Linked DNA regions of Lonchura striata. The protein of the gene in region 2 binds, or shares a complex with, the protein of the main gene of each other region. Links are inferred from orthologs where the notes say so. Each region holds a gene or a part of one and is shown on either strand. Other genes may lie near its edges.

What was found. Proteins that work in one complex are often made in the same cells at the same time.
Region 1: the proteins of AGT (region 2) and ANPEP are in contact, whole or in part, in a crystal structure (PDB 4FYS), measured with the Homo sapiens proteins. The link is inferred for Lonchura striata from reciprocal best matches to the Homo sapiens genes AGT and ANPEP. Residues at the interface, in NP_001369746.2 of Homo sapiens: Val27, Tyr28, Ile29, His30, Pro31, Phe32; in NP_001141.2 of Homo sapiens: Gln211, Gln213, Ala351, Gly352, Ala353, Met354, Glu355, Arg381, Val385, His388, Glu389, His392, Glu411, Glu418, Asn438, Arg442, Phe472, Tyr477, Ile864, Phe896, Ser897, Asn900, Gln903, Ala904, Arg907.

What each region holds. Positions count from the first base shown.
Region 1 is NC_134613.1:24,301,179-24,308,364, forward strand, and holds the start of ANPEP (aminopeptidase N), read right to left. Parts: upstream 3,042-7,186; 5' UTR 2,862-3,041; coding exon 2,146-2,861; intron 1,880-2,145; coding exon 1,734-1,879; intron 1,658-1,733; coding exon 1,521-1,657; intron 1,439-1,520; coding exon 1,312-1,438; intron 1,204-1,311; coding exon 1,049-1,203; intron 978-1,048; coding exon 864-977; intron 749-863; coding exon 605-748; intron 531-604; coding exon 465-530; intron 324-464; coding exon 258-323; intron 98-257; coding exon 1-97. Other genes in the region: AP3S2 (AP-3 complex subunit sigma-2), read right to left, coding at 6,898-7,026. UniProt on the Homo sapiens protein: Broad specificity aminopeptidase which plays a role in the final digestion of peptides generated from hydrolysis of proteins by gastric and pancreatic proteases.
Region 2 is NC_134605.1:42,847,700-42,855,015, reverse strand, and holds the start of AGT (angiotensinogen), read right to left. Parts: upstream 3,008-7,316; 5' UTR 2,905-3,007; coding exon 2,893-2,904; intron 639-2,892; coding exon 1-638. UniProt on the Homo sapiens protein: Essential component of the renin-angiotensin system (RAS), a potent regulator of blood pressure, body fluid and electrolyte homeostasis.

The sequences.
Region 1 (7,186 bases), on a different chromosome or scaffold from region 2:
TGTCAACAGTGACCACAGGGAAGCCCATCTGCAGCGTCCAGCGGTCCATGATGTTGCTGATAGTGTCAGGCAGTTGGACGTTGTTGTTCTTCACCGCCTGCGGGATGGCAGCGCCACTGGTCACCAGGGCCAGGGGCACGGCCAGCGTGGGGCTCGGCCAGTGCTGCAACCCTCCCCGGCACGTGGGACCCTGTCCCACCAGGCAGCCCCCCAGAGCCCGGGCCGGGGATGCTGCAGGAGCACCAGCCCGCTCCTACCTCTTGCAGATGGACCCAGAGGTCAGTGTAGATGGTGTTGCTGTAGGAGAAGGTGTGGAGGTAGGACTGTGGGAGAGCATCAGGAGAGATGGGTGAGCAAGGACAAGTCTGGGGTGTGGGACCCCCCTAGAGCAGCCAGGAAGGCCTCCACCATGGGATCCCACCCCGCACTGGGCTCGCCGCCCCCCAGTACCAGCAGCACCTCACCTGCAGCCCCTTCTTGAAGACCTCCTCGCTAAGGAAGCTTGAGAGCATGCGCAGCACCGATGCTCCCTGCAGGGACAGCAGGTGAGAGAAGCCAGGGACGGCCCAGAGTCCATCCCCACCCCAGGGACCCCCGTGCACACCTTGCTGTAGGAGATGCTGTCGAAGACTTCGCTGATCTGGGCCGGGGTGTTGATCTCCTCCTCGCGGAAGGAGAGCGGGTGGGAGCTGGCCAGGGCGTCCGTTGCCATCACGGCATGCAGCTCGTTCAGCACCATCAGGTCTTTCTGCAGAGGGGGCACCGGCACCCGCCTCAGCGCCGCGCGTAGCGCCTGGCACCGGGGCAGCCCCGGGGTGCCTGCCGCCCCACCTGCCCCCGCGCCCATCGTCCCGGGCACTCACAATGTTCCAGGAGGGCTCAGCAGAGTTGGCACCCAGGTACTCCACGTACGAGGCGAAGCCCTCGTTCAGCCACAGGTCGTTCCACCACCGCAGCGTCACTAAATTCCCAAACCACTGCAGAGGGCACAGCACTCCCTCAGCCGCCAGCCATCAGCCAGGGGAGCGGGCGGGGGCGCAGCAGGTACCTGGTGTGCCAGCTCGTGGGCGATGACGGTCACCACCCGCTCCTTGTTGCCAATGGAGGAGTACACAGCATCGAAGAGCAGCGAGTTCTCCCGGTAGGTCACCAGCCCCCAGTTCTCCATCGCGCCCGCATTGAAATCGGGGAGGCCGACCTGGTCTGGGGGCGGAGGGGTCCTGTCAGTGCCCCGCTGGCAGCACGCTGGACCATCTTCCCCCCTGCGGTGGGTACCTCAGCCCAGTGCCCCAGGTGCCCCACAGCACCCACCAGACTTGGGGAGCGGGTAGGACGTGTTGTAATGATCCTCAAAGAAGTTGAGGATGGGACCAGTGACATTGAGTGCGTAGTCGCCCTGGCCCTCGCTGATGGCTTTGGGGCGGCCCCAAATGCGGATCTGGAGAGGAGGATGCAGGACTCATCAGTGGCCCAGGCTCAGCCACCCAGGTGGGCAGGGGGTGCACCCCACCTCATCCTACCAGTGTGTTGTTTGATATTCTCTCCACGTGGCTGAACCGGCTGACAATGAAGGCCAGCAGGTACGTGGACATCCGGGGAGTGGTGTCAAACTCAGTGACGTTCCAGGTCACTCCATCAATCACCTGCTCCCTGGTGTCTGTGGAGATCAGAGAATCACCCCACAGCTCTGCCAGGTCCCCAGCCCCCCAGCGGGGCTCCCCTGCCCCACTCACTTTTGGCAGGCATGTTGGAAATGGCCTCATAGCCAGACGGGTAGATCAGCGTCACTGTGAAGTTGGCTTTCATGGCCGGCTCGTCGAAGCAGGGGAAAGCTTTGCGTGCGTCAGCCGCCTGCATCTGCGTGGTGGCCACCACCTGCCTGTGAGCCAGCCCCATCAGTCCTGGGGGTCCCTGTGGAGGCCGCACCCCCCAGTGCCCTTTCTCCCACCCCCACCAGGGCAGCATGAGGATGCAAGGGCGGCACAGAGGCTCCACACACCCATCCCACAGTCCTGGTGGGAGAGGAGCCCCAAAGCCAGCTCATGCCCTCCACTGCCCCGTGCCAGCCCCGTGCCCCCATTCCCCTTCCCAGCACCACACTGGGCCAGCGCTGTGGCTTCCACCCCACCCCTGCCCTCCACCTACTTGCTGCCTGACTCGTCCGTGTACTCGCTGCGGTAGAAGCCAGCCAGGTCATCGGCCAGCTCCCCGGTGAAGCTGCTGGACAGCCGGTACCGCTGGCCCTGCTGCAGAGGAGCGCCCAGCTGCACCACCAGGTACTCGGTGGGAGTCTCCAGCCAGGTGCGGGAGATGGCAGGGGCATTGCCACCACCCTCTGCCTGCAAGGTGGCATGGAAGGAGCCCTGCATGGTGTAGTTCAGCTTCTTGCTGTGGATGAGGATGAGGTCGGTGGCCTTCTCACACATGAAGACCACACTGCTGTTGCCCTTGAAGATGTACATGTTGTTGGCATCTGGCTTCAGGAAGGGCTGCAGGGATACCTCGTAGAACTCCGGCTTCAGCGTGGCTGGCAACCTCCACTGGTTCCAGGGATTGTTGGGTGCAGGGGTGGTGGTGCTGGTGCCCGGGCTGGCCGTGGTGTTGGTGCCCGGGCTGGCCGTGGTGCTGGTGCCCAGGCTGGCCGTGGTGCCAGTGCCCGGGCTGGCCGTGGTGCTGGTGCCCAGGCTGGCCGTGGTGCCAGTGCCCGGGCTGGCCGTGGTGCTGGTGCCCACATCTGATACCCCCTTGTTCTTTTCCTGGGCGTACACCACCGAGAGTGCAATGATGGTGGCCACAGCCCCCAGGCCCAGCACAATGGCCACGATGCCCACGGTCTTGCTGATGAAGAAGCCGCCTGCCATGGCGGGCAGCAGGAGCGGCACTGGCGGGGACGGCGCTGGTGCAAGCACGGCTTTTAGCCTCTCGCTCCCACGAGGTTTATTAGTCCAAGTTAATGGGTGAAGGATTAAATGGCCATGGGGTTCAGGGCGGCGACAGACCCTGGGATGAGCTTTCCTCCCGCCCGCCTCCCAGCCTGGCAGGAGCACCAAGGCCCGGCGCCGCTGCTGCAGGGGCAGAGCTGGCGGTGCGGGGTGGCACCATCGGGGAGCGTGCACGGGCTGCGGGCCTGGACCCCGGCGTCCTTCCCAGCGCTGGCCTGGCCCTGCAGGAGGGACAGAGCAGGTGGTCGCAGCCAGCAGCCACATCCACGCCGTGCTGCGGGGCCTGGCATGTGTCCCCAGCAGCCGAGCCCAGATGCAGACTCAGCGTCACCCCATCCACCCTCGAGTGACAGTGTCTGAGCCACTCTCAGAGGGTCCGGGCTGTCCCTGCGTGCGGGGGGCACAGCCCACAGGCTGCCCCACCCAGGCAAAGCGGAGCAGCATAGTGCAGCACAGGGGTCTAGGAACGGCACGGGAATGTGGGGGAGGACACTTGGGAGGAGCTCCCTCTGCTCACAGCCCTCTCAAAGTCCAGGGTCACAATTCTGGAGGCAGTGGGGTCAAACTCCGTCCTTGTGAGCCCAGCCCCAGTGGGCATAGGTGAGGTCCCCACCCAGGGTGGGGTGGGGGTGGGTAACACATCCTGTCACACACTGGGAAGAAATAGGAAGTCCCGTTCTCAGGATCTAATCGATCTCTCCATTGGGAGATATGGGAAGGTGCTGCCAGAAGCCACAGCTGGGGCAAAGGGCAAACCAGGATGAGTGAGTGGTGTCCTCAGGGAGCCCTTGCCCTGTCCCAGGCAGCACCCAGATGCACCTGCACAAATCCCTCTGGATGCTGCTGGTGTCCCTGGCACTCCCTGTCAGGCACAGCAATGCTCCAGGCCCAGAGGTCACTGCTGGCTCTCTCAGAACCATCCCCACGCTGGCCCTGGCCAAAGGCTTTGGGGACAGTCCCCCACGGGACCAAGGCCACGGGTGACTGGGAAGGTGCCCGGCACTCTGCACACCCCCTGTCCCGTGCCAGTGGGCCTGCTGGCCCTCCCCATAGCCCCGGGGGCACAGCACGCAGGGGGGGCTGGATGGAGGGGCTGGATGGAGGGGCTGGATGGGGTTAACGGGGAGCAGCAGACACAGCACCCAGCCTGCAGGACTGTCCCACCCCACACGACCCCTCCCTGGAGCCGGCCAGCAGCACACACATCTCCCACAGGGTTTGGTGTCGTCCCCGTGGGCACGGGGGCCCTTGGGGCTCTGGCCTCACGCACCCCACAGCCTGACACCCCCCAGCGCCCTCCACGCCGTCATGAACCCCCACAGACCCCCCAAACCCCGCACTGCATACGGGCCCCATAGCCCCCATGTATGTGAGCCGCACGGCTCGCCGCACACCCCGCAGCCCCCGCAGCCCCTTCCCCGCTCGGTCCAGCCCAAGGCTGGCCCTGCTTGGGCCGTGCAGCGCCCGCGGCAGCCGAGCTCCCCCTCACCTTCCTGCGCTCCGCGGGGCCAGCGGGGTCCGCCCGCGCTGCTGCCCCTTCCTGCGCCCCGCGGGCGGCCCTGCCCGGCTCCGGCCCGGCTGCTGCCCGGCTGCTGCCCGGCTCCGGCCCGGCTGCTGCCCGGCTCCTTCCCGTGCCCCTGCCCGGCTCCTTCCCGTGCCCCTGCCCGGCTCCTGCCCGGCTCCGGCCCGGCTCCGGCCCGGCTCCGGCCCGGCTGCTGCCCGGCTGCTGCCCGGCTCCTGCCCGGCTCCGGCCCGGCTCCGGCCCGGCTCCGGCCCGGCTCCGGCCCGGCTGCTGCCCGGCTCCTTCCCGTGCCCCTGCCCGGCTCCTGGCGGCCCTGCCCGGCTCCGGCCCGGCTCCTTCCCGGCTCCGGCCCGGCTGCTGCCCGGCTCCTGGCGGCCCTGCCCGGCTCCGGCCCGGCTGCTGCCCGGCTCCTGGCGGCCCTGCCCGGCTCCGGCCCGGCTGCTGCCCGGCTCCGGCCCGGCTGCTGCCCGGCTCCTTCCCGTGCCCCTGCCCGGCTCCTGCCCGGCTCCTGCCCGGCTGCTGCCCGGCTCCGGCCCGGCTCCGGCCCGGCTCCTGCCCGGCTCCTTCCCGTGCCCCTGCCCGGCTGCTGCCCGGCTGCTGCCCGGCTCCTGCCCGGCTCCGGCCCGGCTCCTGCCCGGCTCCTTCCCGTGCCCCTGCCCGGCTGCTGCCCGGCTCCTTCCCGTGCCCCTGCCCGGCTGCTGCCCGGCTCCTGCCTGGCTCCGGCCCGGCTGCTGCCCGGCTCCTGCCCGGCAGAGGGGCTCCCGGCAGAGGGAATCCCGGCAGGGGGGATCCTGGCAGAGGGGATCCCGGCAGAGGGGATCCTGGCAGAGGGGATCCCGGCCCCAGCCTCGCACGCCCCGCAGAGCGGCCGGGCCGGGGCGGCGGGGCCGGAGCCGGTAGCGGAGCCGCCACGGGCGGTGCACGGGGAGCACGAGTGGCCGGACACGGCCCCAGCGGCACGGGGCCTCGCCGCCCCCCTCACCGTGAGGTGAGCTGGAGCGGTCCCCTCCGACCGCCCCAGTCCTGCCAGACTCCGCGTCCCAGCCCCGGGACACAGCCCAGGCACGATGGCTCACCTGCACCCTTCGCCGGCACCTACAAGAGGAGGAGGAGGAGGAGGAGGAGGAGGAGGAGGAACAGGAGGAAGCGGAGGGAGAGGAGAGCCAGCGGAGAAGAGGACACAGCAGGTTGCCCAGCTCCTTGACCTCCAGGAGGGCTGATGTGGCTAGTGGCCAGCTGCGGAAGGGTTAAGCTGCAGGGAGGGGAAATTCCTTCTAGGCAGAGTCACGGTTTCCCTGCCAGGGGAAGTGGAGGCAGAACCTGGAGCACAGCTGGGGAGCAGAGGAAGGGCCTCTGGCCAGGCCCAGGGGCTGGTGGCCAGATGGAGCTTTGGTGGAGCCAGGGGCGTGGGGTACATGGCTGACAGAGCCCATCAGGGTCACTGTGATCCCCCAGGACAAGCCCTGCTCCTCCCCAACCTCAGAGGACCCCAGCCCCACAGCTCCCACACACCCACAGAGCGGTCAGAGCTCACAGAGCTGCTGCCCTGCAGCAGGGAGAGGGCAGGAACTGGCAAAGGGTGAACTGCCACTAAAGGCCCAAAGCTGGGGACATTGTCACAGCCATCGTGGCCATCACCATCCCCATGCCTGCTCTGAGAGCAGCGGGTGCAGCCAGGGACGCTGCCCTAAGGCCCCTGCCCTCCCCTGGGGCTCTGGGGCCCCCTTTCCCACCCCCTGGGCCTCCACCAGCCAAAAGCCCCCCAGGGCTGCAGCTGCCCCAGGAGAGCTGCACAGAGCCCCCGGCCCCCTCCCCTTCCAGCAGCACCCACAGCAGACACAGACACGGGTTCAAGGGCAGTTTATTGGGACACAGGGACCCACTCCAGCAGCCCCAGCCTGCCCCAGCCTGGCCTGGCCCTGCAAGCCCCCAGGTCACTCAGCTCCTGTCCCTCTTGCTGCCATTCCTGCCCCAGCATGTCCCACTCACTGTCCCCCGGGCACACAGCAGCTCCCATGAGGGATCCCCACTCAGCCGGGGCCCATCACAGAGAGCAGGACCAGGGCAGGGCACAGCCACGGCTGGGAGGGTGGAGCAGACAACCTGCAGCTCCTGACAGTGCCACTACAGGCACACTCTCACCTCTGGGAATCCCAAGAACCCCGGGAGAGGCAGGAGCCAGCCCTTCCCCACAGCAAGGAGAGGCTGTGTGTCCCCAGGGAGCGAGGGGAAGGAAGAGCACCCTCCTTGTTGGGGGACCAGAGAGCAGAGCTGAGCCCAGGTCCAGAGGGAGGGACTCCCCAGCTCGTTCTCTGAGCCCTGTCACCGCTCCCTGCCCTCGGCCACCATCGGCCCCTGTGTGGCACATGCAGAGCCCCGGGAGGAGCCCGGGACCCCCGCTCTGCTTGGCGGGCAGCCCCCAGCACGGGCTGCTCACATGAACTGCGACAGGTTGGGCACTTTGATGTTGATGTCCCCGATGTTGATGTTGCGGGGGATCTCGGGCAGGTTGATGTTCTTCACAGCCGACACGGCGCGGGAAGGAGCAGCTGAGAGGCCTCCCTGGGGACAGAGGGACCATGACCATGGGCCACAGCCCCTCCGCAGCTGCATCTTTGATAAACCTGGGCTCAGGAACCTTGACAAAAGAACCCCTTCCACAGGCAGCTCCCTGCGCTCTTGACCAGCACCACTGGGCAGGGATGTCGCCGGCCCCATCCTG
Region 2 (7,316 bases):
AAGTGCTCCATGAACAGCTGGAAGAGGGGTACGCCAGGGGCAGAGAACAAGCTCAGTGTGTTGGAAAAGAGCAGCTCCTCGTCCCCACTCTTCACAAGCCTCTCGATCGTCCTCAGGCTGGAAAGGAAATTGCTTCCGACTGCCGTGGAAGTGCAGTCAGGATTGCCAGAGGGGGGAACAAATCCCAGCAAACCCTGCAAATCAAGCGCTGTCTGGTTTGAGGCCCCCAGGTAGAATGAGACCAAGGAGCTGTAGAGGCTGGTTGGGGACAGGAGCACGTTTTGGCCCCTCTGAGCTTTCTGCAGCACGCTGTAAAACCTCATGCCCAGGACATACACCAAGTCACTCAGGTAGCTCCGTTCCTCCTTCCCCCAGGTGCTGAGGCTTGGGGCTTCCAACTTGTTCTCGTTCATGCCAGCTTCATATTCGGGTGTGGTTTGGGACTCAATGGACACAGGGACAATAGTCTTTCCCTCCTGAACCAATTTTTCCAGCTTGTCACAGTCACTCTCATTGAAACAAAACAAAGTGAAAGGGTGGACGTAGACCCGGTCACAAGTCACCATGGTAAGGCAAGCCGACAAGTAGAGAAGATCTGCTACCAGATTCATGTTGGGAAATTGCCTCCACTGTGTCTGCTGAAAGAAAAAATTCGAAGGAAAGGAGTCTGGTCAGGTGTTTCAAGTAGAGTTTCTCTTAATCACAGTGGGAGGTACTAGTGCTGTGTTGGAGTTACAAAAGTGAGAATTTCAGTATTTAGTGCTGTTTGGTCTGACTCTGCCCCTAAAAAGCCCAGGATGAGACAGACACCAGTTTCAATGGTAACAGGTGGGAAATGGCAAGCACAGACCTGACTCCATTACCCACTGCAGTACCCTAAGGATTTTTCATGGGAATGGCTGTGGATCCTGGTTATGCCTGCAAACTAGATCATGCTACTTCTGCAAAACATTTGTTTTGCAACAAATGCAAAAACATTTTTTCCTGGGACCTGGTCAGAACCATCCATCTCTGCAAACTGCTGCACTGACCCTTGCTGACACATAGGCTAAGCAATGTGCCTGCTTATATGCAGGAAGTAGGTTTGGAAACCAGTTCTCTTAAGGTCCAAACACAGTACGGTCCTGCTTTGTATGTCTAGTCAGCAAAATACTTGGCACTAGCAGAGCATGTTATGTTTTCATAGCCCAGTGCAAACATTCATTCTAGCTCTTAGGCAAACACTCCAGGCTCCCTTATACAAATGTGCTCACACTGAAATCATTTTTCATTTCATCTTCTGTGTCTGACTACAGAGTTAGAAGGAGTAGGCTGAGTTTTACTCAGCTGTGCAAGCAGTCTTCTCCTGAGGTAAAAGACCACTTGCAGCTCTTGTTTTTCCTGACAAGAAGCAGAGAATTTTACTGTGTGTGGATGTCTCTGGTGTTTTAGCACAAAGGATATAATGGAAATTGGGACTAGAATGTCATGGACACACACACACACACACGCAGACACATTATACCTGTTGACAAATTTTATATTTTTAGAATTCTCTCTTTTATAATATCAAGCTTTTTGATAACTAATAGCTCTGCTGTACCTTTCTTGGACTTCTAGTATATACTTTTTATCTGTGTATTTGAAATCCAAACTGAAATGTGTTGAAAATTATGCATCTGTAAAATATATCATCAGCCAAAATACTGTTATTCAGAGCTGTATTTTTATTCTACTAGTAATTCCTTGTTTTTTGTAGCTTTGTTCACTCTCTTTCACTCATTTCAAGTTCTGCAGAGCTCATTGGATGGGCAAAATGCTATCAGCCTTGCCAGTACCCAAGCCCTGATCTGTGCTTTCTTCCTCCAAGGCTTTTTGAGTCACTCCAGTCTGTCAGGTATTGTACTTCTGGTAGTCTGAGCCTTTTGAGAGCACACAGAGCAATGTCTGTCTCATCAACACTTTACGCAGGGTGGAAGTACTTGTGTATAAATCCAGCTATTCAAGACCTGGCCCCTTCCCAGCCTAATTTACAATGTATAACCATATTCTTTCCCCTGAGGGGTCCCCAAGTATTTAATGCCTAATAATAGCCCAGTTTGCAGTGCCACCACTCTGTTGCACATACAAAAACTGAGATGTGCAGATGCTTGGTAACTAGACATACCTTGCTAGGTAATCTGACTGCTAACATGGACATCTGCATTCCCAGGCTGTAACTGGTTTTGCAAATGGAATTTATGGTGCTGTAATGGTCCCTTAGGATGTCTAAGTGTCTTCCTACTGTATGCTCTTGGGTCAAGCCTGAAACTATTTGCTCCCCAGAGGCATGCAGGGGAGGAGCTGCTGTAGATCCCTGTCCTTGTGTCTTCACTCAAGGATTGTTCTTCCCCATTAACTCCCACTTCATCCTCTAAATTACTGTATGGGCAGCACAGTCGTGCTGCTGTCCGCTCTGCTCCCGTCCCCTCTTCACCTCCCCAACTACACTGGTAGCATGTGACATGCATGACAGAGCATATTCATTTCTTGTGACTGGTTAAAAAAATTATCTTAGGAGGTGCCTTCCTAACTTCACTTTCACAGTTAGCCCAGCTTCTGTGCTAGTGGATTTCTAAACTACTCAATGCATTTTTCACATTGGCATGCTCAGGAAAATGAACCAAAAAGCCACAAATTAGAAGGAATTCCTTTCCTACACTGTTTTCTCCATCACAAAATTATTTTGAGGCATTTCTTAATCTTTTCTGCACAGCAGGGAGGGTGACCCTATGCCACCCAGGCAGGCTGTGCCATTAGGCACCGCTGGCACCCAGCGGTCACTTCTCTCTGGCTGCCAGAGCCCCCAGCTCTGTTCAGCATTTGTTCCATGTCCAGAAGCAAGAGGAGCAGTTCTCACTGCCAAGCACTTACCCTAAGCGCCATCTGTGGAAAGTCAGCGTGGTTTATTTGGCTAAAGGAGAGAGCCCCAAGCCCTTTGGAAAAGCATGGAAAAGCAGCACTCAAAGCAAATGCACGAAGAGCGCGTACTCGCCTCTGTGCTGGGGTGTCACCCCTTTGTTGCCCCTCCGATGCCGCTGTCCCTCAGGCGAGCTCCCCACGACACCTGTCCCGGGGTGGCGGGACGCGGTGCAATTCTGCCCTTCCTGCGTGGCTGCGGCATTGCGCAAAACCGCTTTGCATCACAGCCTGGGGCTGACAGAAGTTACCTCAGGCCAATGAGACCTGAGCCCGGCTCAACAGTGGCTTCGCAGAAAGTTCCAGGGATGGATACACAACCTTTAGCCAGCCCCAGCACACCTGTGTAGCCTGCAGTTACACATTCACCAAGGCAGACACCGGCGGTTTTACTGCGTAGAATAACTGATTATAGGAAAGACATCATTTTGTGACAGACTGAAAGGAATGCAGATTCCTTTGTACTTATATTTGTTGTACAGTTGGATCAGATTTTTTGGCTTCACGGATAAATTGCCTTTAATCTCTCCCTTGCAGCCTGGGGACCCACCAGTGTGTGAGATGTGTATGCTACTGCAGAATAAAGTGATTAAGCTCTTAATTTTTACCCCTTCTTTCCCTCTTGAACTGTTCAGAATGTCAAGGCTTTGTTCTTTCTCCTCTTGAACAAGATGTGTTGAAATGGAGAAGATGAAAGCCAGGTAGGTGAGATTGCCAGAGCTGGATCACAAAGACTTCATCCCTCCCAGTGTCAGCTTCTCAAGTCTTGTTTGGGAAAAGGGGTTGGGATTTGCAGATCTTTGAGCTGCTTTTGAAACAATCTTTCAATTTTGGTGTACCCCTTCTTCCTATTTAAGCATGTAAACAGTGAATCAAATGCAATTTGTTAGACTGGGTCTTGTTCAGTACCCTTTATTCTTAGTCCCATGGCTCTAATAGGAGTAGGGTTGATTTGTCATCTGTGCTTTGATTTTAGAGGGCCAGTCAGGCATGTTTTGTACTCCAGCTACATGTTGGGTTCAAGGAGAGAGCTGAGAGAGGGGGATGTTTTCAGCATGCCTGGGCAGCTGGAGCTGGTGGAAATGAAGGTGGAGACAGGGGCAGCTGAGTCCTGCCAGCCCAAGGGCTGTGTGCCAGATGCCTGACAGCAAAGAGATGAGAAATTTCTGTCTCTGCAGTCCTGCTTTTCATTTAAACAATCTGATTACCTTCACTACAAAGAGGTCCAAAAGTGGTTCTGAGCCCAGGCTTGTATACCATGCTCTCATGCACTGAAGGCTTAAACAAACAGCTTGAAACTTTCAAGGTGTTTTGTCCTCTTGCTGCCTGAGCATCTCAGTTGAGGAAGCATCTGCCCACAGAACAATCCCTGAGCATTTGTACCACCCCCAGACTTAAAATGCTTCTAGCTGAACAGAGAATACAGGCAAAGGGAGAAGGATGAAAAATGAAAAATGCATATTGCTCAGCTAAATGCTAAGAGATCAAGTCCCCCTTTCAGGTCCCCCTTCTTTCCCCTCTACCCTGGAGACTCCTTTCCCCAGGCAGACCTGGGGAGCCAGCTGGTCCCTTAGAGGCCAGTGGAGCTGTGGTGGGACATGCAAATCTGTTTCTTCTGCACCACCACCCATATGGGTCCATCTGAGGCACTAGGCAGGCAGTGCAGTGCACATGAATGGCCAGACCATGCCGAGCCTGTGAGCTAGAGCTGGTCTGCTCCATCCCCCTAGATGAGGTTTGAACAAAGGTGAAAAGAAAACCCATCCCAGTACTCTCTGAATTGAGGACACACAAATGAAAGTTGTTTCATGGAAAGGCACCTTGTATTCTGCAAAACTCTGAAAAGTATCCTTATTAAATTAATTACTGGCTTTGGCTAATAAGCTACAAGTGATGTTAATAACAGATAATACAGCTGTAAGACTTACATGTTTGCTGTGGACAATAAACACTGAAAGGGGAAATCACAAACCCCTCACCCACTGTAGTTTTTTTCCTTAGATAATTATGCCTTTATTCTGCAGCATTCAGACAATGCTGTTGTTTGGGTATCTCCTGCTTCCAGCTCCCCTGAAGGTCATGACCAAGCCATGCTGCAGCTGTGGGTCTCCTTGTGCTGTAAGTACCAGCCCTAAACAGGCAGCCCTGGCTGCAGGGGATGCTGCTCTGAAGAAAAGGAGGAGCAGGAGTCACCTGAACAACAAATCTAGTATGTGGGTCTGGGGGCTCTGCCTCATAAAGAAAGTTGAATATTCTCAGGGTTTTCAACCAAGTTGATCCTTGGGTGTCTTTTGGTGTTTGTGCCCTCAGTTCTATGATTTTCTGTCGATAAAAACTGGTCAGTGTCTTTGAGGATCACAGAAGGCTATCTTTTGCCCCCCACCCTTGCCTCCACATCAATAAAGTAATCAAATAAAAATACCTAGCTTTATCTAGAAAAAGAAGTTTCACCAGGTAATGTTCAATGTCCTGTTTTCACCACAGTCCTCCTCTTGCCTCCTCCTTCCTCAGCCACTGGGAATTTGGCTGGCCTCAGTAATGAGGAAGAGCCTTCAATTTCACCTTATATTCACACACCACTACAAAGCTCAGATACAGTTCCCTCCCTCATTCTCCAGTCACTTGTGCTCATTCAATTAATATTCCGCTATTAAGATGCATCACACACCAGCACACTTCTTAGATCTTTGTCCTTTATCTTTTAACACTTTCTTCTAAAGGAGAAGGTTTCAGATTTCCAAGAACATATCTTGCCACACCTGCAACATGTTTTATCCTAGTAGTACTTAAAAACAGTTAGTCTTTAATTTTATTTCTGAGACATTTTTAAGAAGGAGTGCATGAGCATTATTCCAATTACTAAATGTGGACTCTTGTCAGGTTTTTTTATTGGGTTGCCATGGTTTTAGGAATGAGAGTGTGCTTAAAGATAGAGCTTTGACTTTAAAAAGCAGACTCTATCTATCTCTCTCTATCCTACCCTTCAGCTCTGGTGTCCAAGGATTTTGCCCCTTAAAGAGAGCTGTGCCAGAGAACTTGCACTGGGCCAAATTTGGGCAAAAAGCTTTCTGGCAACAAAGAACCCAAGAGAGTGAAAGCAAGGCTGTTCTACAAACATCCCCTATCCAAAACAAGCCTGTGGCCCACACACGCTTTCTAAAGAACCTCTCCCTGCAACAGCCACAGTAAAGGTACAAAGAAACACAGAGCTCTCAAACCTGGTTTTCAGCGGTGAGGTGTGTTCTCTCCTTTTGCCCCACTCTCCAATTTTGGAGGGGTAGTCAGCTCCCCCTTTTATACCCACTCTTGCATAAGCCAGGCCCATCCCCCGTCCCCCCCACCACTGCCCTCATTTCTCTTCAAAACCTGCCTCTGTTTTTCCTGCTTGTTATTCATGGTAGCTGCTGAGAGGGGAGCAAAGAGGGGTGGAAAAACACTGGTGCTGCAGTTATGGGTTTCCATGCAGCCATCCTAGGATCAGTTCTCCTGGTCAGCCTCACTGTTGTGAAGTGCTAATGTGGAAGCACTCCCCTGCCCCATGAAAAATTCTCGTTGATGGTGCTCCAGCAGTTCTTCATGCAAATACTGACAAAAAAGGCTTCGGAAATTTTAACCCTGGCAGAGGAACTTTAACCCTACAGACAGCAGCATATAATTCAGCCTTGAACGGGAAAATGTTTTTGTCCAAGCTAGAATTTCAACTGATTGACCAGGCAGCTATTTTTTTGCCAAAGAACACTGCGTCTCCACTTTGCAAAAAGTAATTTCATTGATCTGAATTGTTCTGGGAAAACCTGTATAAAATTCAGAACTTTGTGCAGAGACAATAGTAAATATTTTATTCTGTTCAGTTCTGTTTGTTTTCCAGGTTTCCAAATTTTGCTCCGAGACTTGAACACAAAAGGGCCAGATGTACTCCTGTGATGATGCTCTTGTCTCCTGTGAGGCAGCAGACATGGAGGAGGGATAATAAATTACTCTGCTCACAGGCTCAGACCACAGACCTTTGTCAGAATCTGAGGTATTGATGATTCTGAGATTGTAGAAAGTCTCTGTCTTACTGCCCCATTGCCAAAGAAGAAGTCATAATTCGTCTGTGCTGGTTTCAAGGTTGTTTATTCTTGCTCATCTCTAACATGTTCTGCTGCCCTGCCGCAGGTCTGTCCTGCAGGGCAGCGTGTGGGGCTCTGCCCTCAGTGGGATGTTACAAACATTATATACCAGAAACTACCTGTGCTATATTTACAATAATGTGCCAATATCTGTCCCCTACGTTGAACAGTGTGTCCCCAGCCTAAACCAATAGAAAAATGCCAACACTACAGTGAAACATGGAGGGCATGAAGAAGGAGAAAAAAGACAAGACACACCCAATTTTC